Linked DNA regions of Alligator mississippiensis. The protein of the gene in region 4 purifies or fractionates together with the protein of the main gene of each other region. This does not show direct contact. Links are inferred from orthologs where the notes say so. Each region holds a gene or a part of one and is shown on either strand. Other genes may lie near its edges. The genes, in order: SF3B3, SF3A3, CDC5L and FUS.

The links.
Region 1: the proteins of FUS (region 4) and SF3B3 purify together in Homo sapiens (affinity purification with mass spectrometry; 3 studies listed by BioGRID and IntAct, with this or other methods). This does not show direct contact. The link is inferred for Alligator mississippiensis from reciprocal best matches to the Homo sapiens genes FUS and SF3B3.
Region 2: the proteins of FUS (region 4) and SF3A3 purify together in Homo sapiens (affinity purification with mass spectrometry; 3 studies listed by BioGRID and IntAct, with this or other methods). This does not show direct contact. The link is inferred for Alligator mississippiensis from reciprocal best matches to the Homo sapiens genes FUS and SF3A3.
Region 3: the proteins of FUS (region 4) and CDC5L purify together in Homo sapiens (affinity purification with mass spectrometry; 4 studies listed by BioGRID and IntAct, with this or other methods). This does not show direct contact. The link is inferred for Alligator mississippiensis from reciprocal best matches to the Homo sapiens genes FUS and CDC5L.

The regions. Positions count from the first base shown.
Region 1 is NC_081833.1:36,190,256-36,197,916, reverse strand, and holds the start of SF3B3 (splicing factor 3B subunit 3), read right to left. Parts: upstream 3,014-7,661; 5' UTR 2,938-3,013; intron 2,771-2,937; exon of another isoform or gene 2,662-2,770; intron 2,617-2,661; exon of another isoform or gene 2,598-2,616; intron 2,003-2,597; exon of another isoform or gene 1,912-2,002; intron 1,135-1,911; 5' UTR 1,082-1,134; coding exon 1,012-1,081; intron 594-1,011; coding exon 267-593; intron 1-266. UniProt on the Homo sapiens protein: Component of the 17S U2 SnRNP complex of the spliceosome, a large ribonucleoprotein complex that removes introns from transcribed pre-mRNAs.
Region 2 is NC_081829.1:1,211,992-1,219,848, reverse strand, and holds the start of SF3A3 (splicing factor 3A subunit 3), read left to right. Parts: upstream 1-4,852; 5' UTR 4,853-4,881; coding exon 4,882-4,977; intron 4,978-5,746; coding exon 5,747-5,794; intron 5,795-6,635; coding exon 6,636-6,688; intron 6,689-7,722; coding exon 7,723-7,828; intron 7,829-7,857. UniProt on the Homo sapiens protein: Component of the 17S U2 SnRNP complex of the spliceosome, a large ribonucleoprotein complex that removes introns from transcribed pre-mRNAs.
Region 3 is NC_081824.1:11,837,510-11,845,140, reverse strand, and holds the start of CDC5L (cell division cycle 5-like protein), read right to left. Parts: upstream 3,009-7,631; 5' UTR 2,887-3,008; coding exon 2,842-2,886; intron 390-2,841; coding exon 286-389; intron 1-285. Other genes in the region: zinc finger protein 107, read right to left, coding at 6,851-7,631.
Region 4 is NC_081830.1:432,211-439,986, forward strand, and holds the start of FUS (RNA-binding protein FUS), read right to left. Parts: upstream 3,002-7,776; 5' UTR 2,962-3,001; coding exon 2,949-2,961; intron 2,617-2,948; exon of another isoform or gene 2,249-2,616; intron 1,866-2,248; coding exon 1,841-1,865; intron 1,394-1,840; coding exon 1,239-1,393; intron 593-1,238; coding exon 451-592; intron 57-450; coding exon 1-56. Other genes in the region: nucleolar protein 3, read left to right, coding at 5,546-5,846, 6,262-6,551. UniProt on the Homo sapiens protein: DNA/RNA-binding protein that plays a role in various cellular processes such as transcription regulation, RNA splicing, RNA transport, DNA repair and damage response. Binds to ssRNA containing the consensus sequence 5'-AGGUAA-3'.

The DNA.
Region 1 (7,661 bases), on a different chromosome or scaffold from region 4:
TCAAAATCTTATTGGCCTAATTTTAGAATTCATTTGTGCAATCATGGTTACAGGCAGGAACAATTCTAAACATCTGGATCTTTGATGGCAAAATTTGGAAATCTAGAAAACTGCCTGCAAGGCATACTTGCTGCTGCAGCTGACAAAGTATGGTGCAAAAGCTATCTTCCTTGAGGTAAGGACAACACAAGTTAATAATTTCAAGGATGTTGTTTCCACCATTCAATCCTTTAAAATGCTGCAACCAGATCCCTAGATTGACTTACTAATCATAACAGCACGACCCTTGGGATCCACAGCCAAGTATTGACCAGGAACAATTCTGCGACAGCCACTTTTGCCAAAGGTTTCCTGATGGATCTTTTCAAACACATTCTTGGAGGGTTGGTACTCTAGGATAACAATGCGCCCTGAATCACTGCCAACCACAATGTAGTCTTTGGTTCCACCTGTCAGCCTGAAGGCCATGAGGGAACGAATGACTCCAAACACTTCCACAGTCAGCAAGGTATGAACCTTCCCTGTGTTAGGATCAGGGCGGAGCAATTCCAGGATCTTCCCTCGTGAAACAACTATTTCCTGTTGCTTTGTTCCTAAGAAGCCAAAGCCATGAGAAAAATCAATAATCAACATAAGCAAGTGGAAGAATCAAGCAAGGACAAGACCAATGTTACAATACTAATACTGTTACAAACCTGATACTTTATAGGAGAGAAAGTCAAAGCCACTTAGAATCATTAATGACCAGATATTTCAGTGTTTGGCTGTCTATTCTACAGACAGGAACACTGAGGCACAAAGAGCAAAGTGACTTAACTAAAGCCACCCAAGTCAGTGAAGACAAGGCCTCGAATTACTAAAGTTCCTGGAAGTTCTCAAGACCAGATCTCTCCCTCAATTTGAACATGTCAGTCAACCCAGCTAATAGCACAAGAGCAAAACGTCAGTGAAAAACTAATGTTATATTTAAGTAACTTGTAACAAAAAGACAGTCAGGACAACAGACATTACCTGAAAAATTACCATGGATGGCATAGCTGATGCCAGTGGCTCGCTGCAAGGTTAAGTTGTAAAGAAACATGGTGGCGATAAATCTACTTCACTGCGTATGTTTCAGCTTTATTATGGAGTCCACTGCAAATAAACAAAATAGCTAGAAATCAGGAATACATCCAATTGCAAAACAGGTTGCATCTATTTAGTGCTTACTTTCACATTATTTCAATATAACAGAAAAGTGCCAGCAGCTTAATCTTGTCTGCTAAGTCTGCACGAATGTCTTACAATGCTTCTGAAAAATGTTATTTAATTCATTTGTAAATGAACAATGCATGTCAGCTTTACATATTTCCATCCCTTACAGCCATATACAAGGGTTCATGCTAAATGTTCTAATTTAACATAGAAATACATGCTTAAAGTCATTTTTTGTATAGATGCAATTTTCATTTCACTTTTATGATAGAGTCAAGGTATCAGGTTTTGCAGGCACATGAATGTGTGCAACAAGCCCATACTGCATAGGCTATGATGGTCTGCTGCTATGGTCTTCCAAACAGTGTTATAATGGTTTATCAGTCCTGGATCCCTGTTTACTTTAATTCCATTTAGCCCTACTTGTGAGGGTTTAACCCAGAAGGTTAGTGACAAAGTGAGCTCTTACTTTGCAGTAATTTATCTGAAAGAGCTGACAAGAAGGAATAATAAAGCAAGGTTTCACTTTTAGTCTCATCAACGTTAATAGCCTTGCCTGTACAAGAGGGATGAGTTGCGGATTACAACCCAGGACAGAGCCAGCAATACAGCACAACCTCCTCCTCCTCCATGAACAGGCAAACTGCTGTGCTCACTAGTAAAGTTTGCTCTTAATTAAAATGGGAGGGGGGGGAAGGGGATTACAACACTACAAACCATAGCTTGAAGTACTTCATTCTGCCTACTCTTCAGAGCCTGAAGCAGTGCAATGAAAGGTGTGGCTGGCAATTAAACAATGGAATCAGGGAAACCCTGTATGAAAGACATGCTCAGAAGCTGAGGAACAAAGAGGACAACACCAAACAAATAAAGCAGGTCCACTTCAGTCTGCAGGTCCATTGTCTGTGTCACACAATGCCCTTAATAAGATTATATGGAAAAAAAGTGGAGAAAGATTTCTAGGCTGCCCTGGACATGTTTCCCCCCCTCCCGAGCCCTCAGCCACACTTCCCCACAAGCAGTGAAACCTCCCTGCCCGAGCAGATGCTTCCCCCAGAGACTGGTACGACAGTGACAGCGGCCCCCAAAAACTGCCTACGCAACTGCGCCCCTAAAATCCTCCGTGGGATCAGAGGAGCCGGCCTCGGAACAGGTCTCTACTAAGCCGCGCACCTCCTCCCTGGGAACGCGGCGCCGGGGCACGCGGAGGCCGCGACCCGCACGCGGGGGAGGGTCCCGGAGCCGCACGAAGGGCGCAGAGGCGCGGCGGGATCAGGGCAGCCCCAGCGGAGCGCAGTTAAGGCGTCCGGGGGCCGCCAGGCCGGAGAAGGCAACCCCGCCGCCCCTTCCCGCCCAGGCCGCGCCGCAGCCTTCGCTGATGCCGGCGCAGGAGGAAACAGTACCGAAACCGAGCCCGGCCCGCGCTGCCCGGCCTGACGCGAGATGGCGGCAAGCGGCGGCTCCTACCGGGCGGATGGCAACAGATGGCGGCCGCGCGTCTCCCCTAGGCCGCGAGCCCGCAGAGCCGCTGCGCCATGAGCCCTGTGCGCGCGCTCTGCCGCCCCGCCCCCCGCCGGGGCCTTCCTCACCCGACGCGAGCGACACGGGGCTGCCCTCGGATCGCCTGACCTCACCGATGAAAGGACCCCGTGGGCATCTTCCGCCCGGCTCTGACCCCGCCGCAACCACGACGTCTCCCCCCCCCCGCTCCTGCCTGGGGACGCTCGCTCGGCCAAGCCAAACCTGAGAAGGCTGCGTGTCCCTCAGGCACCTTGGGCAGCAGCCCCAACGACCGCTCAGACCCCGCTGGGGCTTTTGATTTCTCGGAAGTGACGTCCCTGGGCAAGGATGGCTGCGGCTGCTGGCGGGGCCCTGAGGGCGCCGGGCGCGGACGGCGGCAGCTCGTGCTTGTCCATGGAGCGGATCCGGGCGCTTACCGACCTGCGGGAGCTGGAGGCCGCCTATGGCCGCCTGTGCGCAGAGGAGGTGGGGCCGGGCCGGCTGCGCCTTCTGCGCCGCCCCGTTTGGGCTTCTCCTGAAACTGGGCTGGAAGCTGGTGCCGGGCTGGGGTCGCCCCCGGCGGGCGCGGGGCAGCTCGGACGCAGCGCGCTCGGTTCCAGCCGCGAGGCGAAGCGTCCGGTCGGATCCTGCGCCCGTGCTTCGTGCGGGACAGCGAGCTGGTCCGTTCCTAGGGCCCCGGGAGGCCGCCACGCTCAGCCAGCAGCCATCTGATTTTAGCCAATTTAGCTCCAATTGTCCTGGGAGTAGAAGCGTTATCTTGGAGCTTTGCGGGCACTCTCAGTGGGACATGGACTTGTTCATGTGCAGGGTCCTGGGATACAAGACTTTGTCCCGGCAGAATTTGTTTTAAACCTTTGGTTAAAAATAGATGCCAGGTTTGGTCTGTTTGGGTTTAGCTCATCTTGTAGCAGACCCCAGACCTTACAGCCTGTGCGAAGCATCCAAATGAACCCCTTGTCTTGGGCTGGAATTAGAAGTGGCAGAGTGGAGTGATTCAGCTGTGCCACACAGCTTAGTCACCGTTCACTTCATTGGGCAAAACCCGCATTGCGTTGCTCAGCGTGAGTCTAGAGCAGCAGCAGTGCCAGGTCTTCCCCTGTCCAGACAGCTCTGAAGGGCCTGTCAGGGCTGGCTGACTAGAAGCACTTCCTGCTGCCCCAGACCCACTGAATGGGTGTGGAGCAGCAGAGAAAGCTGGGATTTCCCCAGCTCAGTTAACCTCAGGGTCTGGTTATGCAGGGAAGCACTTTTCCCTGCTGCCCCAAACCCACAGTGCAGGTCTGGGGCAGTGGGGAAAGGAGAGGCTTTCCCTGGCCAGTCAGCCCCAAGCAAGGTAAGTGCCACAAGGTAAGAGGTGCCCACCGCAATGAAGCAGCAGAGTCTGTTACTCCCTTTTGTTGTGTCACTGATTCTCTTATTAGGTGGTGCAAAAAAGGGCAAGGATGTCTATTCTGCATTTATACTGCCTTAAAAAATTTGAAGGTGATACAAATGGGAAATCAGATGGCATCTGTTTCCACTCTTGGACCAGCCAGGGTTAATTTAAATTAATTGCTGTTACTTGCCATTAAGCCTTGTATGCAAACAACTCTTGGAGTGAAGGTTTTGGAGGGAAAAAAAGCCCAACATACAGGGGAAAGAAGAGACATCAGAAAGAGACCCTCACCACATTTATGGTTTTTCAGTACAAACAAGCAAGCTGATGCCTCACTCAGTGCAAATCCAGTTTTGTCCTCCTGTGAAAACAAGACCACCTGTTTTGCTTGTGAAAACAAACGGAAGTAAAACAACTTACCAGGACTGTTCTTGTGTGTTAGAATATAGGGAGGACCACAATTCCATCCATTTCCTGGTTCAGAAAAGCATTTGGGTATAACTTGGTGAGATAACATAAAGAAAGAGTGTGGGCCAGATGTGGCCCATGGCACTATGTCATTTGGTCTCTGGGGCTCCCCACAGGTCTGGAAACTTGGTGGTAGGGGAATGCTGGTACCACTCCCCTGCAGCCACATTTTTGGAGCCACGAAGAGCCCCAGGCCCTGTGTGCTAGATCCAGTGCCTGATCCCAGCACACATAGCAGGCCAGAGGGTGTGCCAGTCCCAGGGTCTAATCCCAGTGTGGGGGGCTTGGACAGGGTGGTGCTGGGCCAACAGGACTCAATCCTGGCTCATGGGTGTGGGAGGGAACAGTGCTGGGCTCCCAGGACCCAATCCTGGTATGCAGGGGATTGTGCCAGCCCCCTGAGACTCGATCCCAGTGTGCAGGAGGTGAAAGGGGACAGCACTGGCCTCTCAGGACCCAGTCCCAGCATGTGGGGCATGAGGGTGGGGTCACTCATCTGGCCTGGGGGGCCAAAAGGTGGAGTACCCCTCTCCTCCCCTTCCCTGTGTCATAATGGCAAAGCATCTAACAAGAAAAGTTAGATGTCTCTGCTAGAGCTTCATTAGCTGGCCATAAGAGATTGGTACAGAGGTTTACAGGCTTCCTGCCCTCAACCTTGACAGACTGACTATCCTGCCTATGCAACATTCACATTTTTTTTTAACTTTGGAGCATACTATTGTACTCTGATCTTTTCTTATAGACAGTTAAGCCAGGAACATCTTCGGTATGGAGAGGCAATGTAGGAATGGATTTATTTTAACATTGCATGATAGAGGTTTCAAAACTGACCCTTGAAATTAGACTGGAGTGTAAATGTAACCAGATTAAGATGGAACACTGGGGCTTTTGACAGACTGTGTTATTAGCTGAGTTTTCAGAAGCCCTCCTTGGTGTGTACTCCTACATTGATGTTGAGGGTTTGCTTCTAAGCTAGTGACATTAGTGATTGGCCAGAAAGTGTCATAAAGTGACATAGGACCACTTTCTTTTTCAGAAAGTGGTGGAAGAAGAGCTGGAGGCCCTGTTGGAACAACAGGGTACCATAGAGAACAAGATGGTTGCTCTTCATCGCATGGGGTTAGTAAACACATCAGTCCTTCAGTGACAATACCCTGCTTTTTATTTTTCTTCAGTTGTTTTGTATTTTGGAGGGTTGCTTGGGGGGAAAAAGGCCTAGATTCAAATGCATATGTATTTTTTCCTTCTAGTTTTAAATTATTGTATGCTGTTACCCTATGTTGTTCAACAGCTGCTTCATTATACCACAAATGCTGGTGTTTTGTTTTTTTTTTCACTACTGAGTAAATCTGTTTCCCTTTAAAGAGTGCTTTGACATGAAAGATGCCATAGAATAATCTTTTCTTTGAGTCACTGTGATAAATGAAGGTAATGATACTTGCAGCTCTCCTACAATGTCAAAAAATGAGCTGTCATTCCCAGTGGGTATTGTTGGTATTAGGCTTTAGCACTAACATCTCTGAATATGAACAATGCGCCTCTTCAAATATGTTGTTTCAGGTTGTCTGTAGATTTGGATATATACAAATGAATCTATTTGCAGAGTTCAATGCATAGGTTATTTCTACAATCATAAGGCTTGGAGCTTTATATTTAATAAAAGCTTGGATTCTAGAGCACAAAATGACACTTCCTGCCCTAAAAAAGGACAAACTTATACATCTACAGCAAAAGCTGTGTTAACCGGCAGTTTATTAGCTGGAAAACTCTATTAACCGGCATCCAAGGGATGTGGCAAAAGTGAAACTGGAAGTTCCACTTCTGGGGGACTTCCCATTTCACTGCCCTGAGCTGAGTTTTCTTTGCCTCTTCTTTGGCACACGGCCCAGGGCAAAGCAGCCTGCCCGGCCCGCTCCTTCCCCCCCCCCCCCCCCCCCCCCCCCCCCCCCCCCCCGCACACTGACCCCAGGGAGTGCACCAGATGGTGCACATTTGATTAACTGGAATATTTGATTAACCCTGGCATTCCTGGGGGATGCCGGATAACAGCTTTTACTGTATTTCCTTTCACCTCTTTATTGCTAGTAAGAGAGATGTTAGGTAGATAGGCCCTTTGGTGCTGCTATCTTCCAGATAAGACTCTTGGATCTGACTTTCAACTCATGCCACTGTCATGTTCTTTGACAGGAGTTAAAAGACTGGTGCTGGCAGGCACAAGATGGGGGATTACGTATAACGCCTTGCTGCTTCAGATCTGCTTTTCTTGTGTATCACCTGTTATCTGCATGTGTGTTTCCAGCCCCAACCTGCAACTGATTGAGGGGGATGCCAGGCAGTTGGCGGGGATGATCACTTTCACCTGGAATCTGGCTGAGAATGTCAGCAGCAAAGTCCGACAGCTTGATCTTGCCAAGGTAACTAGACGGAGTGGAGCTTTGTAAAACGAGACTGCAGATTTCAGTGTGCGGAGTAGCCCCTGTGATTTCTGTAGGCTATTCTTTCCTAATAAAGGCGAGACCTATAGTCTGGTTCTATATGCTGTACCTTTTTGGGTTCCAACCTAATTTTGGGATTCTCATGATTTTTTCAAGTCATCAGCTACCTAGGGACGCCAAGTTACTCACCCAGCACCCTGCTGACCTTGAAGTCCTGTCTGGGACAAGGTGATCGTAACCCCTTACTCCATGGGTCACATTTTTCTTTCCCTTTGGCTATATTGTCTTTTCTGTATAGCTCTCTTTTCTAGTCCAGCTAGGTGAAGGAAATCTCAACTGCTATTCTTGCAGAACCGCCTCTATCAGGCCATCCAGAGAGCTGATGACATCTTGGACCTGAAGTTCTGCATGGATGGGTTCAAACAGCTCTGCGAAATGAAGATTATGAGCAAGCAGCAGCTCATATCCATCGCTACTTGTCTCTGGACAAGTCAGTCATTGAGCTCAGTCGACAGGGCAAGGAGGGTAGGTAAAATCCTTGCATTGGTATTGATGGTGTGGCTGTTTAGTCAGGTAAATTGTGGGCTCTTGCTTTTAGAGGTTATGACACACAACAGGGTTGGATAACTTGGATCCAAAGAGAGTGTTAAGAAAGGATCTTATTACTA
Region 2 (7,857 bases), on a different chromosome or scaffold from region 4:
ACGCTCCCCTGCATGCGCCTCCCTCGCACACTCCCCGCGTGCTTCTGTCCTGCAGCCTTGGCCCACTGGTGCTGCGGGCCCCGCACAGTGTTATGCATGCAACTCGCTCCTCTACGGGCAGCCAGGGCCTGGCGGAGCCCCTCGGGCGACAGCTTGGACGCAGGCACGTTGGAGGCGGTGGGTGCTTTGCGTTCTGCCCCGGGGAGCTTCCCAGAGAAGCGCCCTGAGCCCAGCCTCCTCGCGTCTGTCTCTGTACGGCTTTGTGTAATAAACCTTTTTGGGACGACGTGCTCCGGGGGGTTTCTCTGGGCCGGGGGAGACGACGGTTGGGACGAATGCGGTCGAAAGGGGATGGGCCGGCTTGCATCTGCTGGACCACGCAGGGTTGCCGGTCCCCAGCAGCAGCCGGCGGCTTCGTCAGAGCTCGGTGACTCTCCGTGACGTTGGAGGTGCCGTCTCCCCATCGTGGCTCGCTCTGGGCCGCGGGGTCCCCACCTCCGGCCCCCACGGCGCGGCGACGCCGCTCTCCAGACAGAAGAAGCTGGGGGCTGCGCGGCACGAAGGACGCGGCCCTGCGCACCCTTGGCTCTGGCTCCGAGCAGCTTCGTGAGAGCATCGTGCTCCATTGGGACCTCCGTGCTCCTGCTGCCCCGTGACCCAAGCCGGGCTGTGGGTCCCCGGGGCTGCTGGCTCTTTGCTGGAGGCCGAACAGCCGCCGGCTCCAGCGCAGCCACTGGTTCGTGGCTCGGCCCACGCGCTGCAGCCTGCGCCGTTCCCAGGGCTTAACCGCAGCAGGCTTCCTGGCGAGAGGGCCCCCGGGCTCCTCTTCCAGCTGGGCTCCGGCGCCTCACGTTTTTCACCAAAAAAGGCAAGGGCCCAGCTGCACGTCGTGCGGGAACATCTGGATTTCATCCCTGTCAGGAGCGGGTCACGGGACGCGCCGCGCGGGGCTGGATTTACGGGAGGGGGCGGGGTGATGTCATGCACACGGGTCCCCCGAGAGCTGGCGGAAAACAGGAAAGGGGGAGAGAGGCAGCTGGGCAGGACGGGGAAAGAAGCCGCCCCTGCACCCCTCTCTCCCCCTGTGCAGCTCTTGGCCCCGGGGTGACGGGGTGTTCGAGGCCGGGCATGCCCCAGCTGGGCTTCCTGCACCCCTGCCGTGGGCCTGAGCCCTGGGGCAACTTGCCCTTCTCTTAGCACGTCCGTACGAGCATTGCTGGCCAGGAACCAGAGCTGCCGGGTTTCGCAACGGCTGGGGGCCATGCGCCAGCTCCAGACATCCCCACCTCCCGCTGCAGGACGGGGCAGACTGGCGACGGGAGGCTCGGTCCTTCTCCACGGGCTTTCCCTATGGTGGTGAAGCCCGGAGAGAGCCCCTCCACCAGCCAGAGCCGGCGGGGTGGGTGGGTGGGACGCGACTTGAGGTTCAGGTGTTCCCCTCTCCTGGGCTGGAGTCTCGGGCTGGGGGAACGGCGAGTCCGGGGTCTTATCTCCGGCTTTATTTTTAGCCAGGCGTTCATAGGGAAGAACCGAGGCGGCTCGTGGGAGAGCGATGGCACGCGATAGCCCCGGAGTGGGCAGCGTCCTCCCAGCGGAGCAGGGGAGCCCCGGGCAGGCCGTGCCCAGTCCACTTGCTGCTGCTGCTTTCATCAGCCTTAATTTAGCTGCCAGCAATGTCACGGCATGGCAGGAAAAGGCCGGATCCCTTGGGGCAGGGACTGCGTAACGAGAGGGGGGTGTTGACTGGATACCTCCACCCCCATCCCTGCAACGCTGGCCAAGCAGAAACCCCACAGCCAGCGCAGGGGGCCTGGATCTGAGCCGTTAGCAGCTGCTGGGGATGAAGGGAGCCGGGGCTGTCGCATGTGGTGGCACAAATGATTGTGCCCCCGGGGTGGACAGCTGCAACTGTGACCAGAGACTGGGAGCTGTCACATCCCGAGCAGGGGCCCTAGGCGTGTCCCTGCACCCCCAGCTGCGTGTGCCCTGAGGGACGTGGACCCACTGCGGGGATCCTCTGCAGGGGGGTGGGTGAGTCCTGCACTCATGGTGCGTGCAAGCGAGTGCTGGGAGAGAGAGGTGTGTGTGTGTGTGCAAACGTACACGTGTTTTGGCTGCACGGCACCCATGTTAGGAGTCGCTGCAATGCCCTGCTCCTCCCTGACCCCCTCTCTGCCCTTCCCAAACACCCTCTTGGCCCCTTCCCCTCCGGCAGGCACGTCCCGTGGCTGCTGTCCAGCTCCGCTCCGAGTCCGCGGCCGAGTTACCAGCCTCCCCCCTGTGACTCTGCCCTTCCCACTCCGTCTTTGTTCCTTGAGAAAGGTCGCTGTGCCTCCGCGCAGGTCACTCCTGCTCCTGCATCCAACTGGCAGCATCTCCCTGCCGCTTGTGCCACCATATATGGACAGTATTGGGGAGAGAACCATCCGCGTGGGGCTGCAGGCGGCTTGGCCGCCGGCCAGCGGGAGGGCTTCGCTCAGCTGAAACCCCTCCACGTGGCCGGGAGAGAGCGCGGCCCCCAGCTCCTGGCTGTGCACAGGGCAGGCGAGACCCCCAGTGGGGCAGGGCAGCGCCAGAGGGGCCCACACGGTGCTGGAGAATTGCAGCCCCCTGTTAACCTCCCTCCCACCCCAGCTCAGATGCCCCCGAGCTGAGCGGGGTGCAGCACATGCAGGTAGGTGGCTGCAAGGACTGGAGCAGACTCAGTCAGGAGGCAGAGCCCATCTCGGTGCATGGTGCTTGCTCGAGGTGGCTGGCACTGCTGGCGAAGCCCCTTGCTGTGGGCAGTGGGCCAGCCTATGTCAGCTTGCACCTGCATTCCCACGCTGCGCTGGGAACGGGGCCTGCTGGATTATCTGGTTCTGGGCTTGCCCCTTTCCTCCAGTTTTGCACAGTGCTGAGCAGTCAGTCTCCCCTGCAGCTGCTCTCTAACTTGCTCCCATTTCAGTCTCCCATTTCACTGGGAGTAGGGGAGCAGGACACCTGGGGAAGCCCAGAGGATAACAGCTGGCTGACCCGCCGGCCTGGGGCACATCCTCTTGCTGCTCCAGCTGGAGGGAGCCAGAGCTCAGCCCCACGAGGAGAGGGAAAGAAACGCCAAAGCCATCTCACCTTGAGAGCAGGGAGAGATTGATTGCAGGCTCTTTCCCAGGACAGCTCAAGCTTGCCATCTGCCGGAGGCAAAATAAACGCTTGTTCCTATTTCCCTATCCGCCAAAGGGGCGCGTGGCGCTCCCTTCCAGGGAAGAGCTGCCAGCTGATCATAAATGAGACGTCCCCACATTTCAAACGGCGTTGTTATTAAAGTTGTTGCAGCCACGATAGACAAGGAAATATATGAGAAGCATTTCTTTCTTTTTAAATAATACCTTTTATTGGACCAACTGTATTGTGGGGAGAGGCATGAGACCGCTTCAGGCACAAAGGGCCCTTCAAGCATCAACTGGAAATGCTGCCACGAAGGGCATGTTCCTAGCTGGCTCGTGCGCCTATCTTGCTGCAGCTGCTGCTGGGCTTCCCAGTGCCACCGCACGCACACGAGCTACTCGTCTACACGCGTGAGGCCATTCGAGCTCTCCCCGCTGCATGGGCACCGTCGACACCGCGACTCCTGACTGCCCTGCCGCTGCCGCAGCTTCCATCACCTCTTTGTGGGGTTTTCCAGTAAGCACCTTTGCACGTCAGTGCATCCCGCCGGCTACGCAGGGGCGGCGCTGCCCTGAACCATGCTGCGCCCGCAGAGCCCTGCTGAGCAGTGGCGCCGCACCGATCCTTCCAGCTCCCAGCGTCTGTTTGCTGCAGCTCCCTGCTCTCTCCCGTCTCTCATCGTAGCCTGGAAAATCCCTGGGGCAGAGCCTGGGCCCGTCCCTTCTCCAGCGCCGCTCACCCGAGCACGCGCGTCCAGGCCTGAACGTCCAGATTCAGCTTCAAATGCCGGGGGGGGGGGGGGGGGGGCACCACTGCTTTAAAAAAATATATATTATTTGTTTATGAATCCCAATGATCAAATAAGAGATTTCACGTTTCTAGATGCATCCAAGCTCCTAAAATGCACATAAGGAGAGGTGTTTATCGCCTCCGCGAGCGCTGCCGTCACCCGTCGGCACGTGCAGGCACCTTGGCTCGGCGTCCTTCGGTCTCTGCGAGTCGCTCCGTGGTTCCCGTCGCCAGGTCGCTCCTCTGCATCCTGCACCCCTCGTTATCGTTTGCTCCTCTTTTACATTTCACATTTCACACCGGGTTTCTCCGCTCGTGGGCCGGGCGTGTCGAGGCTCAGACAGGTTTCTCAGACGTCCTGGGCTGGAGCCGCGGTCTTTTTCTGCAAATTCCCCAAATTTTAACAAATTCCAAGAATCCCCCCCCCCGGTTTTGTAAGAGGGCCGGGCCGAGTCGTGGGCAGCGGTGGTGGCAGACGTCTCACCGCGCTGGACCCGTGCACTGAACCTACGCACACGCGCACACCCTTGCACGTGCTGACATATGTGCACACTCACACACATTCTGGCATTATGTGCACATGCTCATGCACACATGCTCACGTGTATGTGCACATGTGCCCACACGGGACTATGTGTGTGCATGTGTGTCCCACCCACACGCTCACGTGTGCACACCTGGCGGGTTTGGAGCCGAGCCCCTGCGGAGCGGGAGGGGGAGGGGGCTCTTTTTGCGGCGGAACCTTCGCGCCAGCAGCAGTTTCCGTCCGGACGCAATAGGACACCCCACGTGACTTCCGGCCGGCGCGCCGGAAGTGGGAGGAGGGCGGTAAACTCGGGGGCAGCAAGGAGGGAGGCGGAAGTGGCGTAACCGGCTTCCGGGCGGCAGGAGGGGAAAGCGGAAGTGGTCCGGGGCTGCTTCCGGGCGGCGGGCGGGAGGGCCAAGATGGAGACGATCCTGGAGCAGCAGCGGCGCTACCACGAGGAGAAGGAGCGGCTCATGGACGTCATGGTCAAGGAGATGCTCACCAAGAAGTCCACGGTGCGCCTGCGTGCGTGCGTGCGTCAAGGGGGGAGGGGGTCTGTGGATGGGGGGGTGTATAGTGTGCGTGTGTGTCAAGAGGGGGTCTGTGGATGGGGGGTGGTGTATAGTGTGCATGTGTGTGTGTGTGTGTCAAGGGTCTGGATGGGGGGTGTATGGTGTGTGTGTGTATAGCGTGTGTGTGTGTGTGTGTGTGTCAAGTGGGGGGGTCTGTGGATGGGGTGTGTGTGTAGTGTGCATGTATGTGTGTGTGTCAAGGGGGGGTCTGTGGATGGGGTGTGTGTGTAGCATGCGTGTGTCGGGGATGTCTGGATGGGCAGTGTGTGTGTATAGTGTGCATGTGTGTGCATCAAGTGGGGGGGTCTGGATGGGGTGTGGATGGTGTGTGTGCGTACGTGTGCTGTGTCAAAGGGGGTGTCTGGATGGGGGGGTGTATAGTGTACATGCGTGTGTGTCAAGCGGGGGGGTCTGGATGGGGGTGTGTGCGTGCGTGTGTGTCAAGGGGTGTGTGGATGGGGGTGTGCGCGTCAAGGGGGTGTGTCTGGATGGGGGTATGTGTGAGCGTGCGTGTGTATGTCAAGGGGGGGTCTGTGGATGGGGGTGTGCGCGTGTGTCTGTGGTGGGGTGTGTGTGTGTGTGTGTGTACACACCTCTCCGCCACGTCTCCCTGTGTGCGAGTGCACGCGCTGCCCAGCCGCGTCTCCTAGCTGGGAGTGAAGCCGCGCTAACATCTCTCCCTCCCTGTGTCTCTTTCTGTGCCGGGCTGCAGTTACGGGACCAGATTAACTCGGATCACCGCACGCGCGCGATGCAGGACGTGAGTACCGCCGCCGCCCCGTCCCGATGCCCGTGGGCCACCCTGGCCGGGGGGGAGGCGGGAGGGAGCGGGCACGGCGCAGCGCGGCGCGACAGGGACGTTGTGGGGATACTTGAGAAACGCCCCAGAGCGGGGCGCGGGACGCGCGGTAAAAGGGAGACGTCCCGCCATGCCTTGTGGGCAGCCCGTCGGAGTCCAGCGGCGCGCTGTTATACGACCGACCACGATGGCGCTTAAACACCCGGACATCTCTGTTTCTGAGTGTAAATGGAAAAGGGCTTGTGCTCTTCTTGCACGTGCTTTGTGTGACGCCCCAAGGTCTCTTCCCCTGCGTTCTCCTGAGGGTGCTTAAGCATTTTGTTGACCTGGGTTTGGGCAAATGGAGCGTGGGTTAGATGCGTTTACTTTGAGCCCCAGCACCTGTACGGCTGCTGTAAGTTTTGCATGGAATAGAATAGGACGGGAAGGGACCTGTAAGATCCTTGAGCCCGGTCCCCTGCCTTGGGCAGGAGGTAATCGGGCTCAAACAAGCTGAAGGAGATGCTGTTTACAGTTACATAAATATTACATTGTAGCCCCTTACTGATAAGCTGACTTCCACCGAAGAGCACAAAATGACTTGGAAACGTGATGCTGTTCCTGGAAACACCTTCAGCAGCTAAATGGACCAGTGTTGCTTTTATTGCTCGTTAATGAGCCTTTATTTGTTGGTACCAAAGGAGCAGCGGATAATTCTGTCTAATGAGAGCCCTCAAGGAAGCCTTTTCAGCTACTTTGTTGCGCGGTACTTTGTTGCAGAAGTGCAGGCAGAGCATTGACATGTAGTGTGCTCTTTTCTCAGAGGTACATGGAAGTGAGTGGCAATCTGAGAGATTTGTATGATGACAAAGATGGGTGAGTGTTTGCCAAAATGCCTTGTCTGACCTTTCCTAGAGCTGAAAGCTCTGCAGAATAAATTTCACTTTTGTGCTCTGCAAAGATCCCAAAGGAATTGATGGTATTGAAAGCCTACTTGGAACAAAAAGTGCCAGGGCTGTAGTGCATGTAAATCAGCGCACCTTTAGGGATTAAAAAAGAAGAGGTTTTGTTCTGCTTTTTCCTTCTTCTTTTCTCCATAATAAACTTAAGTTTCCTTCCTGGATTTTGACCTCGCTTGCCAAGACGGGAGGGAAACTTTTGTGTTGATTATATATCATTAACAGGGGATATCTTTGGGAATCCTAGAGCAATCTGATTAGTACCATAGAGCAGCATGTTGTTACGGAGGGCTGTTGAACACTGTCTGATCCAAAATGTTTCGTGGGGTGGGAGACAATTCAGCTGTAGCATACATTTTCTAAAGTGCCCTGTTGGAGAAGTAGTGGCTTGATGAGATTCAGTTAGTGAAGGTGCACAAAAGGTCAGGTTTATTTTGCTCTCCTGAGAAGTCAGTCAACCCCAAACAGAGAGAATTGTAGTCCAAAAGCCAACAAAGTGGTTATGTGTGGGTGCTAATAAAACTCTCCGGGTTCATTTTAAGACCTAGTATATTCAGGTTTTCCAGAAAATCATACACGCCAGTGGCATCTGACTTCTGTGTTTGAACGTTTTAAACCAATGCTCTGGGTTTACTGCCGAGCTGGGTTCTTTATCATGTGAAATGGATGTGTTTTTCTTGGACTAGACCCGAAGGCCCGTAACTGGGGAGCACCTTACCGCATTATAGGTGACCAGGAGAGCTGGACTCCCAAATCCAAACCTTTCCGAGTATGAGATCTCTGTGCAACTGTTAAGCGTATGAAATTTAGTTGAGGGCAGATGGCCGGTTTTGGGGGAATCTTTCGTGTAATTGTGAGATGAAAAGAAATGGGATCAGCTTTGTAGATGCTCCTTATCCTATCCTCTGTTGCCCTCTCATTTGATTCAACTTGTTTCTTGCGGAACCTCAGGTTACGGAAGGAGGAGCTCAGCGCCATTTCGGGGCCAAATGAGTTTGCAGAATTCTATAATCGGCTGAAGCAGATCAAAGAATTTCATCGGAAGCACCCAAACGAGGTCAGTGGCCCTGCGCTTTGTGTGGGGAA
Region 3 (7,631 bases), on a different chromosome or scaffold from region 4:
ATTTGATTTAGTCCAATAATTTGCATTTTTAAACAAGTTATTTGCATACTGTGCAGTTATTGCTATCATCTGCAATTTGAATAGTTTTCTACTTTTGCTCATAGTCCTTTTAAAGAATAAGTCCTTGCAATACCTTCAGGAAACGTAACCAATTAAAAATTTTGAAACTATTTCTTCTTCCGCTAGACCTGAACCAATAGGAAACTCAACAGTGACCTTTTAAATTCATTAATGAATGATCTTTGTCTTTGAATGCCAGTAATGGCTTTTGTCTTCTCCACTTACCATCTGGCTTTGCACTGTTTTGCTGACTTTCTATGCAACAAAGAAGCAATCCGAGACCACTGGTTTTTGCCATATTTCATTACAGCTGCTTTAAGAATTTCATCCTTAAAAAGAGAAATAGTTGTTATTACTATGGGTCAGTAGTAAACTTTATCAGAGCCAAATGCTCACTTGCAACTCAACAGGGAAATGTAGACAAGGCTTCAGCAAGGGTTAACACCTGAAGGTAGATGTGATTAATGAAGTGAAAATAGTGACAGTCATTTATTCTGAGTATACAACAGCATTTGGGGAACAGTCAGTCTCACCATTTCTCCTGTATGGTTAATTTCCATTGTTTGTGTGGGTCTTTCAAGGAGCAAGAACATCCTATTTTTAAAAAATGCACACCCGTGTAAATATCATGAAAATCAGGGCAGGTATACAGCTAAAACTGACTACTTTTTTAAAGCAGTCTTTATTTCAAGATGATGGTGTCTTTATTTTTCAGGACTGTAGTACCTGACAGTTCAAGTCATGGGTCAGAACTCCACCATGCTAGATGCTGTACAAATGCAGAGCAAAACTAGAAGCTTCAGGGATGCAACACAAATTACACAAACTTATCCCAGCTTGCCTGCACCAGGTCTGTACTAGTAGAGCTAGTGGTTTACATGCTTATATTTGCCCCTTAGGCCTACAGTAAACTTTTGTTCTCCTATAAGTGATTTAGTAAGCTATGGGAGAGGCAAAGATTTTTTGGGGGTGATTCCTTTTACTGGACAGCTGAATAGTTGGGATAAAGTTAGACGAGCTTTCAAATGCTCAAAAGCTGAAAAGCTTGTTACCCCTTTTGAGACTTTCCTGGGGGCAGAAGACAATGCTTTCCTAAATAATTGAGTGGAAACCAGAAGTCTTATTTTGTGCAGCCAAAAGCACACAAGGGGGCCATAAAAAGTGCAGTCTATGAAGTGCTCCATCGCTATTTGCTACAGCTTTGACTAAGGATATGGTGGGGCAAAATGGAAGGGCATCCACTGTTGACAACAGACAGCTGGGGTCAACATATATTCAGCACCAGTTCAGCAGCTAATGGTGCCGATCGCAGGTAAATTTTCCTAACACCGAAAAGCCCTTCCAAAGTGCGCTCTGGCTTTAACGGGAGGCTGATGAGTTTTGGTGCAGGGTATTTCAGGAGAATATTAAGTATTTAATATGAAACATGCTCTACGTATTTACTTTCATAAGCCTCAGATTCCCTTTTCTTGGTAGTTTTTATTTCTTTGCTGGCAGTTGGTAACACAGGGCCCTTCTAGATATTGAGATAAAGGTGTGATGGGATCTGATGCATGATCCATACTATCATGCCTCCTGCCACACCAGACATACATGGCAGGAAGCATGATTGTGGCATTCAACATCAGATCCAATCATGCCTTACTGCTTATGCGGGGGGACCCTGAAATCACGATGCCCAACTTCTCCTGCACTGACAAGTGGCAAGCTCCTGTGGCAGTGACCCCTGCAGCTGACGGGGCTCACAGCTGTGACAATGCGTGGGACACTGCCATGACTGCAACTCCAGCAGCTGCAGGGCTTGCAGCGTGCATGGTGCACAGCTGAGCCCCGTCACAGGGGTGGCCACATGTTCAACTAATGGTGCGATAAGAACAAGCCACGAAGCAACGGCACATATTTTATAAAATAAATTTTATGACTTATTCCTCCTTTTACCACACCAGTAATTTATGAAGCATGTGGCCGGGTCACCACTTCAGACACGATTCCCTGGTCAATTGTGTCTTAAGGGTCATGTGTAGCGGGGGGGGGGGGGGGGGGAGGGGGCGGCCCATGGGTGCAATTAACTCTGTGACAGTGAAACAGTCACAGCGGTTTTTTATCGTGACAAATCATTTGCTTCATGTCAATCATCCAGTGATGAGATCTCCAAGCCTCTATGCCAGGGGTGGGCAGGATGCGGCCCGCCAGGACATTCTATCTGACCCGTGGCGGCCCTAAATAATTTAGAAAATTAATATTAATCTGCCTCTGGCTGCCTGTCATGCGGCCCTCGATGGCTTGCCAGAACTCAGTAAGCAGCCCTCTGCCCAAAGTAATTGCCCAGCCCTGCTCTATGCCCGTCTTGGGGGTGGGGGGAGGATCCCTGAAGATGAGAGATTATTTGTGCTTTGCCCCAAAATAAGCAGCACGAAGGCTGCTTAGGCAGGAGCTGAACCAGAGGACTTCTCTTTGCAGAGGGCTGCTTTGCAGCTTCTTACTCCATATACCACCACCCCAAAGGAGGGAGACTGAGAAGTTAAAAACAAAAACTCAAAGCGGGACTAAGAATCCCTTAATCTCCCACGTGAGCCCAAGAGACCTGAGCTGCGTTTGGCCACAAGGAAGGAAAGCAGCCCAGTACAAACACACAAAGCGCATGCGCACGTCTCCCAGCCTCCTCCCCCTATAAGTGCATGCGCAGGACTCCCGGGCCCTTTTCGGCGCATGCGCTCTCGTGTAGAAGCGCCGTCCGTTGACTGGCCCCGTGGGAATCGGGAGGGTACGGGAAGGGCCTACCTCGGTGTTCCTCCACACCCCGCCTTTAATCATAATCCGCGGCATCTTGGCGGCGAAGTGGAGCGGGCTTCGCAGCGGAGAAAACCGGGGCGGACGGGGGAGAGACGCCGCCGCCGCCGCCGCCTGTGCGCAGGCCGGGATAGGATTCTGCGCAGGCTCAGTGAGGGCAACCGAGTGTCAGAGCTCTGCGCATGCGCAGCGGAGAATGTCGGCCACCGTTCGCGCATGCGCGGGCGCAGAAGGCGGGGAGAGGGGCTGAGGCGCGGAGCGAATCTAGCGCCCCCTGGCGCGCGGAGGTGATGTTGGCGCGGGGATCGCTGAAGGGCCACGTGTGTCCGTGCTCTGCCCCGCAGGTGCTTGTGCTCGCTGGCGAGGCTCCCTTGAAACCCTCGCACAAGTGCAAGCCCCAGGGCCCGCGCCATACAGCTGCCCCTGCACTGGCACCAGTGCGTGTGGGTTTGGAGGCCTGGCAACTGTAGGGCTACTGCAGACCAGGGGCAGTATTTCTGGCTCCTTGCTGGGGTCGTGGGAGCGGTCAAGGAGCTTGCCCGAGATGAAGATCCTGCGTCTGAAACCCGCCCCCACTGAATGCCCCGTCTGCCTGCTGTGGAAACCCATCTTAAAAAGCGTGTTTGCAAGACAAGGGTCTTTGGGGAAATCTGGTATCAGATTTACCCCCCCGAAAAAACCTCATCTGCTTACATCCTTAGATCACCACGGCTACAACCTACACCGTTGCAAGACAACGGGTCTGTTCTGATCCACGAGAAACGTGCGGGTGCTGGTCGGGAATGTTCGCTTCGCCCGCGCTGACATCCTTGTTTGCAACGTACCTTTTCTATGCAAGATCATTTTGTGGAAGTCCTAGAGAAGCGGGGCTGGAAGGGACCTCCGGACGTCACCTAGTCCAATCCCCTGCCTGAGGCAGGATCGTCCCTATCCAAAGCTTCCTGCGCAAAGCCGTCATCTAAATAAACTTAGTACAATTACTGTCAATCCTGATGTGACACAAGATGTAACACCCTAACTTGCCAGAGGTGCAAGAATGCAATTTGGGACATTGGGCCAATGTCCTTTAATAAAAGGTTGTTAACATTTGCTCAAGACATCCCAGGGAGAGCCACATCCCCTGCTAGAGAACGGCAATCCCTCCGTCCCTCTCAGTCTATACCAATCTGACCTTGGGGTAAAATTCCTTCCTGACCTCAAATATGACCACTGGTCTGACCCTGAGCAGAGGGGCAAGACCAGGAACTTCTGGCTTTGGTCTCAGCAGAAACATTAGCACATCCCAGCCAAAATCCTCAGCCTTCCCTGTAGCCAACACCCAATGCCTTAGAGAGGCTTAAACACATCCTGACACGTGTAGCAGTAAGGAGGGGAGCAGATTAGGGGATTCTTAGTATTACTTTCGCCCCATTTCTACCTCTGTTGGGATAATCGCATCAAGTAAGCCACCCTAAGCAACCCCTGCCATTAGAAATCCCCTGGTTCAGCCCCTGCTTAAGCAATCTTGCCACTGCACATCCTGGACATGCAAATAATGTCTACTATTGTATCTACTATTGTCTACTAATGTCTACTATTGTATCCAGAGTAAAGGGCCCAGTGGTTGGTCCCTCAAGCTGTATTTCTATTAGGAAATGAAATAGCCACTGCTTTGCTGAGCAGCCTTTGTACACTCAGTTTTAGAGGGACAGTTAAAAAAACCCCTGATAAAATGAAGTAGCTTGAAATCAGTTTGTGATCACTGCAGCACAGAAGCATTTTGAAAAATTTCAGGGTATTCCAAGATACTGCTTTACAATGGTTATTAAAATCTTACAATTATTACAGTATTCATTGCATTTTGAAGAAGCCATATTAATCTGTTTATAAAGGCAAAGCTGTAAATACTTCAATGGCTAACACTGCATTTTACCAACTTTTGAGCTAAGGTTATTTTAACACATTTAAGACTTTAATAGTGGAAATGTACATCAAAACCATGTACATTATCTGAACACAATTCTATACAAACTGATGAATAGAGATGCAGCACGTTTCCATTATTTATCTTTTCCATATGGGTAGCAGAGAGTTTTTCAAATGATATGGGCAGCAATGCAGAACATGAACTTAAGTGTATTTTTCAGAAACAGCAGTCCACGTTTATAACAGATGCAGGAATCAACTTAGTCACCTCTTCTAAAATAATTTACTTTATTTGATATAAAATCCTACATAAACAAAACTCTTCATGGGTTATGAATTTTAGTAAAAAACAAGGTACATGGGAAACAAGCAGTGCTAAGAAAAGTCTCCTTTAAATAACTATTAGCTAAAATAATAAGAAAAAATTAAAAGACCCATACTTTTTCTATGAAATGTTTATGACCCTGGAGAAGATTTTCTGGACTGGGCTGCACAATAACTAGGATAAAAGTGGTGGGCTCGGCTGGAGCCAACCACGCTTTGTAACTTGCACTTCCAACTTTTTTGGTTGCAAACAAGTTTGGTATTTATCCAGAAATGAGTTTTGAGGATGCTCAGCATCTCACAAAATTAGGCCACTAAAACGGTGGCATGCAAAATATAGACGATTATTTCTGTCAGGCTGCCTGAAAAGTAAATAAGCATCAAAAGATGCATTCACATCAGCAATTCTCAACCAGAGTGCTACGAGACACCCGCAGGAGCGCTGCGATGCCACACATTGTACTCTTGCATTAGAGTTCCCTGATAACCCTAAAGCAGGCAGGAGCTGGCTCAGGCTGTAGGTCTTCCCAGTCTGTCCCCGTTCCCACTCGACCTGGAAACAGAGGCATGAGAAAGAGGCGCACAGGTGTAACTGTTCCCGGGACTGCCAGACTGGGAAGGGCTATAGGAGGAGGTAGCTCCTGCCTGCTTTAGGTTAATGAGAGAGCCCTACACAGGAGGATCACACACAAGTGCCACGGCCATTCCCAGTCTGGCTGTGCAGCAGGTAAGTAGGGCAGTTTTATCTGGAGGCAGCAACAGCCGGTTGACAAGCACTGAGGTAAGCTGAGCCAGCAACAACAGTGGTTCTCAACTGGGAATGTTGCCACATTCAAAAAAGCAGTGGAGGGTGACTCTGGAAAGTCTTTCATTTCTCCTCTCCAAGACTGAAAAGGCAAGATGTCAACGTGGATCAGTGGCTAGTAGTCTATTGACTGGAATGCGTTTACACGTACCCTTTAACCCGCATTGTACATCTCTAAATTGGTGATTGCAATGACCTGGTTCCATAAGTTATTTTCTTAAGTCCGTCCTCTGGACACTGGTATAGAAAACCCCCAGAACAGGGATTGCAACATACAGCAAATGGGAGGAGGGATCCATTTTCAACTAATTTTTCACACAACTCTGCAATTTTTAGTTTGCAAGTTGCTGATGTGCTAGAAAGAATTGGATTAAAAATTATTTCACTTAAATATGTTTTGTCTGCACATCTCAATCATGTGGTACAGAAAAGATCAGCCTACTATAAAGGTGGGGCCTGTACTGAAAATAAGTACAGGAACTCAAATAGCACCTCACATCCTTGCTCACAAGGCAATGGTAGGTGGTGCAAAAGTGTGTTTATCAATCAGGTAGGCACTTACAGAACAACTCTTTCCTATACCAACCCTGGCCTAGATTTTCACCCTTTTCTTAAACTACATTGGGCTTTTAACAGCTTTGAGTCTTTTTAACACAGCACATGATGGAACTTAAATTGAAAATGTACATGTGTTTTACGCCCGCTTTATGCATAATCCCTTAATTTCCATTCAGTGTACTATAGCCCAGATCCCATGGATGCTTCCACAATTTTTACCATGGCAACTTTAAAATTGATGACAGTTGGCATAGTGGATGCAGGGCAAAGAACATGTTTGAAATACTGTGAACTTCCTGGAGCTTATAACCCCAAATTTTAATGAATCCTATTTTACTGTCTAGTCTTCAAACACTGCTGATTGATGGTTCTATACAAAACTGAGGATGGAAAGCATTATATTGAACTTCAGGTATCTGCAGGTTTATCCTTGTGCACTTTTATGTGCTTCTTCAAAGCATATTTATCCCTAGTGGAAAACTCACAGGAATTGCAGTGTAACTTCAAATGAGTCAGCAAGTGGCGCTTGAGGTGGCTCGATGTGCGGAAAGCAAGAGCACACTGGTTGCACGTGTACGGCCTTTCACCTGTATGAATTCGCAAGTGTTGCTTCAGGTTTCCACTGTGAGCAGTGGCATAGCCACACTCTTGACACCTGTAGGTTTTGACAGACAATGGTGATTGCTCTTGGAGCTTGGTACCATCTATATGTGTAACCAGATGCTGCTTGAGGGTTTGCCATTTGTCTGTTGAATAGTCACAGGTTTTACATTTGAAGAGCTCCGTGTTGAAATGCAGGAGCTTGTGTCGATTTAGGTGACTTGTGGTACGAAACTTCTTCTCACAAATATCACAGGCGTGGGGTTTTTCACCTGTGTGAATCATGACGTGGAGCTTAAGGTTACTTAAAATGTATGTCGTGTAATTGCATTCTGCACACTTGTAGTATTGGGCTTGACTTTGTGATGGCAGAGCATTTTTGCTTTCTTTGCCCCTGTAAAGATCCATCGGTTTCTCAAAGCTTTCTGGGCTGAACATGGAATGGACACGCTCCAAGTCTTCCACAGAACTAAGATCATTTCTTCTTAGAGTTGTGCCCTGAGTTTTACACTGCTTTTTAATACGTTTTGAACTGTTCCCTAAATACAGGTAAGAATCATCATATTTACGACATTCCTGTAAGTGCATG
Region 4 (7,776 bases):
TGCTGCCGCCGCTCTGGGGCTGCCCATAACCGCTGCTCTGGGAGCTGCTGCCATAGCTGGGGCAAGAGGGAAAAGACATGGGGCTGTAGGCAGGGGATCTGAGAGACACTTGGGTTCCTGGCCTGGGAGGGGGGCACACAGGGACTGGGGACCCAGATGCCCAAGTTCTCTGCAAATTGCACATGGTCTCGTAGGTGAGAACAGAGGGGAATGGGAGCCTGGACACCTGGGTTTTCTGGGAGGGGATGCGAGGGGGTGTAGTGTTCAGAGCTAAGAAACCCTGGGAGGAGCCCGAGATGCAGTGACAGCTGCAGGATGAGGTTCTCTAGGCAAGGACCGCGTGCTGCTGGGCTAGATTACAGGGAATTGGGGACCCAGACACCTGGCTCTCCAGGAGGGGAGGTGAGCGGGTGCTGGTGAGAGCAAGGGGCCTGGGTTTCCCACAGATACCTTCCACTGGAAGAGCTGGCTGCTGGCTGCTGCGAGTAGCCAGGGTAGGAGGACGGCTGCCCATAGGAGCTCTGTGATGTCTGGCTGCTCCCGTACCCTGTTGACGTCCCGTAGCCTTGTGGCGTTGACGGAGTACTATAACCTGGCAGGGGGAGAACACAGACCTCTTTCAACACCTGTACCCCAAAAGTGAACAAACCGCCCACCCCAATATCTGCTGCCCTTATGGACTGGCACTCCTTTACACCTCAGTTTCCCCAACGCGTAAGACAAAAATTATGAGAGCCAATTTAATAGACAGAAGCTGCTCAAGAAGCATTCAGGAGAGCGCCACCGGCAAGGAGGATGTAGACCTGATGCTTTAACGAGGCTGCCACAAGCGAGATCAAACGCTGCCAAAAAACAAAGCTGGGGGTGACTTGCCAAAGGAGCAAAACCAGAGAGCTGCTGCTCTGCCGTGGCTGAGGTGAGCCTCTCTTGCCGCAGAGGAGAATAAATTAAAAAAGAAGAGTTGAACCTTACGGACCAGCTGAAACAGGCACGCGTATGTCCATACGTAATACCCACATGTGCATTCACATGTGTACATATCTCATGCATGCATCCACGCATGAGCTCAGGGCAGCTGGGGGGAGGGGAACATGTAGATATAGGCAGGCCAGGAAGGGAGATGTATATACAAGGCAGGCTGGGAAAAAGAGAATACAGCAAATGTGCAAGGCAGGGCTGGAAAGTGAACGTAGGAGGTAGGCAGGCTGTGGGGGAGGGGGCGGCACACGAAGACGTACTGCTCTGCGTCTGGCCGTAGGAGGAGCTGTAGCTGTTCTGGCCGTAGCCCGAGGTGTCCCCCGACTGCCCGTACCCGCTGTAGCTCTGCTGGCTGTAGGGCTGGCTGGCCTGCTGCGAGTAGCCCTGCCCCGGCGGAGTGGGGTAGGCCCCGTAGCTGCAAGAGAGGACGCCCGGGGACGTGAGATCCTCCTAGCCCCTGGGTGCGGGCACCCGCCAGAAGTGGGCCTGCTGGTTGGACCGGGGGGGGGGGGGGGGGGGGGGAGACGGGCCACTGGCTGGACCGGGGGGGGGGGGGGGGGTACAGGAGGAGACGGGCCACTGGCTGGACTGGGGGGACACAGGGGCGAGTTGGACTGGGAGGGCGACACCCAGGACGGGATGCCCTGTTCGGCCAGGACATAAGACAGGACTGGCCACCGGTTTGACTGGGAAGATGGGACGCTGGATAGGATGCAACTCTGATGGGACTGGGAAAACCAGACACTAAGAGAACAGGCCCACTGGTCTGACTGGGAAATGGGGCACTGGGTGGACAGGGAAGGCGAGGGCCTGCGCCCAGGCTTGCCACGAGGGCCGGCGGGGGGGGGGGGGGTGCCATTACCTCTGTGTCGCCGGCTGGGAATAATCTGCAAGACGGGGAGAAAAGCGAGAGAAACCGTTAGGACCCCAAAGCCTAAGCTCGCCCCCCCCCGTCAGTGTGGGCATGGCGGCCCCACACCCCGGCACAAGGGACAGTGCCTGTAGCGGGGGAGGGGGGTAGCAGGAGTCATGTCACCCCAAGGAAGGCAGGAAGGCAGCACTTGCTACGGTACCGAGACAACCCTGGGATTCACGGCTGTGCCTGCTCCCCCCTCCCCCGCAGCATCCGCGGACGCGCGCGGGTGTCCTTCCGCCCAGGGACGCACGTGGGGGGGAAGCAAGAGCGGTCGGAGTTGCCGCGACTGCGCATGCGCACTAACCCCAGGGCGCCGCAGCGGCCCGTTGCGCACACGCCGGCCCGCCCCGGACGCTCCCGCACTGCGCAGGCGCCACCACGCAAATCCCGCGCCCCCCTCCGGCGCGCATGCGCAGCCGGCTCCCTCCGGCCCACGCGGGGACGGCGGCCGCCGCCATCTTGGCACACAAAATGGTGCCCAATGGCGCAGCTGGATAAAGGGAACCGCCGGGCCCCGCCCGCCCGGAAAATGGCGGGCGCTGGCTTTCCTCCAGCACGGCCGGGGGCCAGAAACGGAGGAACACTAGCTTGCACCCCCACAAAGCTTTGCGCCAGGTCGCGCTCCGGTGGGCTTGCCGAGGTACCCCCAACCCTTTGTATGACGTCGTGGCAGGCCCCCCCGCCCGTTGTGACGTCATCCCAACCCACCCCTGCTCCGTGAGGTAAGTGCACCCCAGGGGCCCCCCCGCCCCCTACATGAGGTCACGACATGCCCCGACTCGTGACATCACTCCACCCCCTAGAGCTCCCCTGGACGTCCCTCACCCCCCACCAACCCCTCGCATGACGTAACCGCGGCCCCCGCTATCGCCACTGCACGATTGCCCTCTTAAGCCAGCACGCGACCTCGCTGCCCCCCGGAAGTCCTCACATTACAGTCCATGCGTAGCCCCGAGCACTGCACGACGTCACTGCCACCCCCGTGGCCTCCCCACCATTGTATGACTTAATTGCAGCGCCTACGTTGCACCCCGAAAAGCAGCCTAGCCCTCACCGTTAGACGCCATGTCCTCCCTCCGCGCTGCCCCGCACCGCACTGCGCGCCCGCCCCCGCCCCCGGCCTTGATATACCCGCCCCGTCCCGCCCCGCCCCCGGCCGCTACCATCCGCAGAAAGGGGGGAGCGCAGCACAGCTTCGTCTCCCCCCGCCCCATTTCCCCTGAGCCCTCGCTCCCCCCCCCCGCGTGCGGATTGCCCCCCTCCCCGGTGTTGCTGTCGTGCTCTGAAAGGGGAGGGTGCTGCTCTTCCTGCCCCTCCCCGCGGGAGGAGGAATGGTACAGTCCGCGGGGCTGCGGTGGGGGGGAGGGATGAGCTCATGGCGGTGGGGGGGAGGGGGGAAGGAACCATGTGGGAGAAGTGGGGGGGTGTAAGCTGCAGCTGGCTGGGGGCTTGCAATGGGGGTGTAAATGGTGTGTGCGCTGGGGTGTGAACTGGTATATACGAGTGGGTGTGCAGCAGTGTAAATGGATGCACAGTGGGGGTGTAATTGGTGTGTGTACTTGGGTGTGCAATGGGGGGTACGGGTGGAAAGGGGGTTGTGCAGGATGCGGAAGGGGGTGAGAGAGATGGGGCCTTTGTGGACAGGGTGTGTGTGCGTGCGCGTGTTGGATGCCTGGGGGGTGTGTGTGTGTGTGTCCTGGATACCTGGGGACTCTTGTTTGTGCATGCACACGTGTGTGTACGCGAAAGAGGAATTGTTTTGCAAGTTCGGGGGGGGGCTGTGTGTGGGTGTGGGTGCATGCACGCACACGGCCCGGACACCTGGGTTTTGTGCGTGCACGCATGCATGTACATGCACACAGGTTATACGCCTGGGATCTGTGTGTGTGTGCGATGCCACGACACCGGAGGTGTGTGTGCACGCGCGTGGGTGGGTGGCCTGGACGCCTGGGTCGCGCTCTGGGCCCACAGGCCTTGCTGTCCGTCCCCCCCGCACGCCTGCTCAATGGTTTCCTCCCCTGGAACACCAGGCTCACCAGTCTGGACCGGCTTAAACCAGCTGGGCCGTTGCCTTGGCAACAGGGAGCCCAATGGTCCTTGCCACCCCCCACATCCCCCCCCACCTACCCCCCATCTCCCGGACAGTGGGGCGGGCAGCCTGGACGCCTGGGCTTGGGCGGGGTTGTGTGGAGCGTAGGGGGGGAGCCCGGGGGGGGGGTGCCTCTCCATGCCACGCTCATCTGCTGTGAGGCCCTTCTGCAAGGCAGCAGATTATTTTGTCATCAAGGGGAGTATTATACACAAGCAAGTATGGTAACCGCTCCCCCCTCCCCTTCAGCTTCTCCAGGACACAAATAGTGCACCCCCCCCGCCCCCCACATGGGCCAGCCCGGCGCCTCCCCCAGGACGGGACAGGCGGGGGGCACAGGGGACGGGACGCGCTGCGCTGCGCTGCGCTGCCTGCGTGACTCAGCTGCAGGTTGGGCCTTCTTCCCATCACCCCCTTGGCCTGATGGGGGGGGATGGGGCAGGGGAAATAGGGGCACGGGGGACTCCTCCTTCCCCCCACCCCCGCCCAGCTGATGGGGAGAAACTGACCCCCCCCCCAGGGATCAGGCCTACAAGGAACCAGGGAGAGGGCACTTTTATGCGGGAAGATACAGTAGAAACCTAGCCCGTGCTGCTATTGCCCCCTCCCAGAAATCACCCCCCACATTTGGGGTAGGGGGCAGCTGGGTATTGCCCCAGGGCAAGGACCAGCTGCTGCTTTGAACCACCTCCCATAAGGCAACAGCTCTGGCATTACCATATTTTCCCATGTATAGCGTGCACGTGCCTGCCCCCCCATATTTTGAGGCGGGGTGCACGAGGGGGGAATCTGGTTTCTTGCCCCAGAGGGAAGCCCCCTTGCTGTCATCCCCATTGCGGCAGCTGTGTTATTACCGCATTTTCATGCATATAACATGCGATCCCTGCCCCCAACTCAGCCCCCACAAGTTTGGAGGGTGCATATCAAGCAGGAAAGCTGATTTTTTTGCCCCACAGAGAAACTCTCCTGCCTTGATCCCTGCAGTGCAGCCTGGGCGTTACCGTATTTTCTGACGTGTAATGCACACCTGTCTCCCAGAGGCGAGCAAAGGGGCCTGTTGTGCGCTAGAAAATACAGAAGCTAGAGCATGCCGAAGTAGGGGTGGCTACGGCCCTCCAGCCTTTGGAAGAATACAGGCCTGACTAATTCACCCATCGTATTTCTTTGGCTTCGGATACAACTTCTAAACCGCTTAAAAAAGGGGAGACACGGACAGCAAACGATCATATTTATTCATGTATCACATGCCTGTCACTGCAGCCCACATCTTCATTGGGAAAGGAGGGTGGGGGGAAGTTTCCCATGTCACTGCACTCTCCAGCATCCATTTCCAGCTCCATTCCCTGAGTTTTGGGGGGAAAGAGGCGCGTGGTAGGTGAGTAAGTAAGGTGCCTCCCCTTGCCGCTTTTGGGAGGGGCACGGCTGAAAGGAAAAGGCTGAATGGTTGGGCTCAGAGGTGCTGGGGGGTGGGAACTCTTTTTTCTGCCTCTTCCCAAATGAGCCACATGCGTGATTTAAAGGGGAGACGCGTCGTACGCTAGAAGCTACGGCAGAGCCCGGCAATGGCGGCTGGCAGCAGCTACGCCGCCGTCCGCGACCACCGCCAGGAGCTCGTGGACATCATCGGGCGCGATCCCGAGAACACCCTGGACGAGCTGGTGGCCCAGTCGCTCCTCAGTGAGGACGAATACGACGCCCTCAACCAGACGCCGGGGGCAGGGCCCAAGGTCAGGAAGCTGCTCATTTGCATTCAGAAGAAGGGGGAGGCGGCTTGCCGGGCCCTCCTGGAGCAGGTGGACGCCCTCTTCCCAGGCTCCGTTCAGGCCTTGCTGCACCCGCCGCTTCCCCGGCCCTCGCTCTACGGTAAGCTGTGCCCCTTCACCATGTTTTCCTGCATGCAACACAGCACAGCGTAGGCTTGGATTTGAGCTCGCACCACCCCTGTTGCCATGTTTAACCTCCCCGCCACCTCCAAACCACCTACATTTCTTCTTTGCTTTGGTTTTCTTTATAAAAAGCTCTACCCAGGAACCACCAAGCTCCTCTCCCTCGACTGGATGGGGAAGTGGCAGAATATCTGTCCCCTCATCAACGTGCCAAGACCAGCACGCAAAGCAAAAGGAAACGGAGATGGGAGATTAGCGTTGTGGTATAGTGGGGAGAAAAATAGGCGGGTTGTGCACTAGAAAACACAGTAAAACACAGCTCATTGTTCCCGTTATTCTGTTCCCTCCTCTGCTTTTTAATTAATTAATTGCGTTTCTCCCTGCCTGGCTAGATTTCTACAACCCCGAACGAGACGCGCAGCCATCGCGATTCTCTGAGCGCCAGGAGAGGGACTGTGTCCACCCCGAACCAGCTGCAGGAGCAGGAGAGCAGGAAGAAGAAACGCCAAGAGACAAGGAGGGGGAGGAAGACAATGAGGGGGATCCCCAGGAGGAAGGGGAAGGGGCTGAGGGGGAAGCAGACACAGCCCCGGACCCGGAGGAAGAGGAGGGCGGAAGCCCAGAAGAACCAGAGCCAGAGCCAGAGCCAGAGCCAGAGGAAACATATTCAGACACCGATTAACACCCCCCCCAAAAGAAAAATCAACAACAAAAATCAAAGCATCTAGAACATTTAAACAAGGAGATGAATGAGGGAGACGTGACAGTTGTAGAGAGGGAGGAAAAAAGTGAGTGTTGTATACCAATAAATACAGTAACTGGCATTATCTGAGCATAACACAAAGCAGCAGCCAGACCAGGAGTAAGGCCATTCAAGCCAATGGTGGCATGAATAAGGGAAATGAGAGTCATGAGTGGGGGGAAAGCATGTTGTATACTAATAAATACGGTAGCCGACATTATACACCAATACATTTGGTAACTGGCATTACATGAGTGTAACAAAAAGTAGCAGCCAGACCAGGATTTAGGCGGTTCAAACCAATGAGGGGGAGGAGGGAGACGAGACAGTCCTAGAAAGGGATAAAAAAGGGAATGTTGTATACCAGTAAGTGTGGTAAGTGACATTGTACCCCAATAAACACGGGCACTGCCATGGTAGCGGCGTAACAGAGCAGCAGCTGGACCAGGCTTCAGGACCAAGGAGGTAAACGAGAGAGACCAGGCAGAGGGTAAAGAGAAAAATGTGAGCATGCGTACCAATTACTGTGATAATAGGCATTAATACAGTAACGGGCACTATATGAGCGTGATGCAAAGCAGCAGCCGCGGGGGTGAGGTTAACGAGGGGAGGAGACCTTTCACTTGCCCACTTCCCAGTGGTGACCTCGGCCTGCGTACAGGACGCTGACGTAACTTGCTCCCAGCGCACCGTATTCGTGCGACTACCACCGCTCTCAGATGAAACCCGCCCCGCCATTTGGGGAAGACTAATCAAAATGATTTTCCCCTTTAAATCGTACTGTCCCGAGCCAGCTGGAGACCCCCATTTTCAGTGGGGGGGGGGCAGGTGAGAGTTATATGCCAATAAATAAGGTAATTGACATCCTACCAGTGGAAAATGAGGTAGCAAGCAGGCCAATGAGGTTACGGAGACAGATCAGGGGAGGGGGCTAAATCCAGCCTGCATCTTGGATGAACAGAACCTGATCACTGCAACATACCGTATTTAGCCGCCTATCACGCACCCTCTGATGTGGCACATGCCCACGCTGTGGAAAAGGGGACAAAACCCAAAAGGTTCCTTTCCCTTTAAATTGAGCAGGCCAAAGGCAGGTGGACATGCCCCCACTTACAGGGAAAAGCAGCGGGGAGAGAACATTATGTACTCAAAACTAATGGCATAA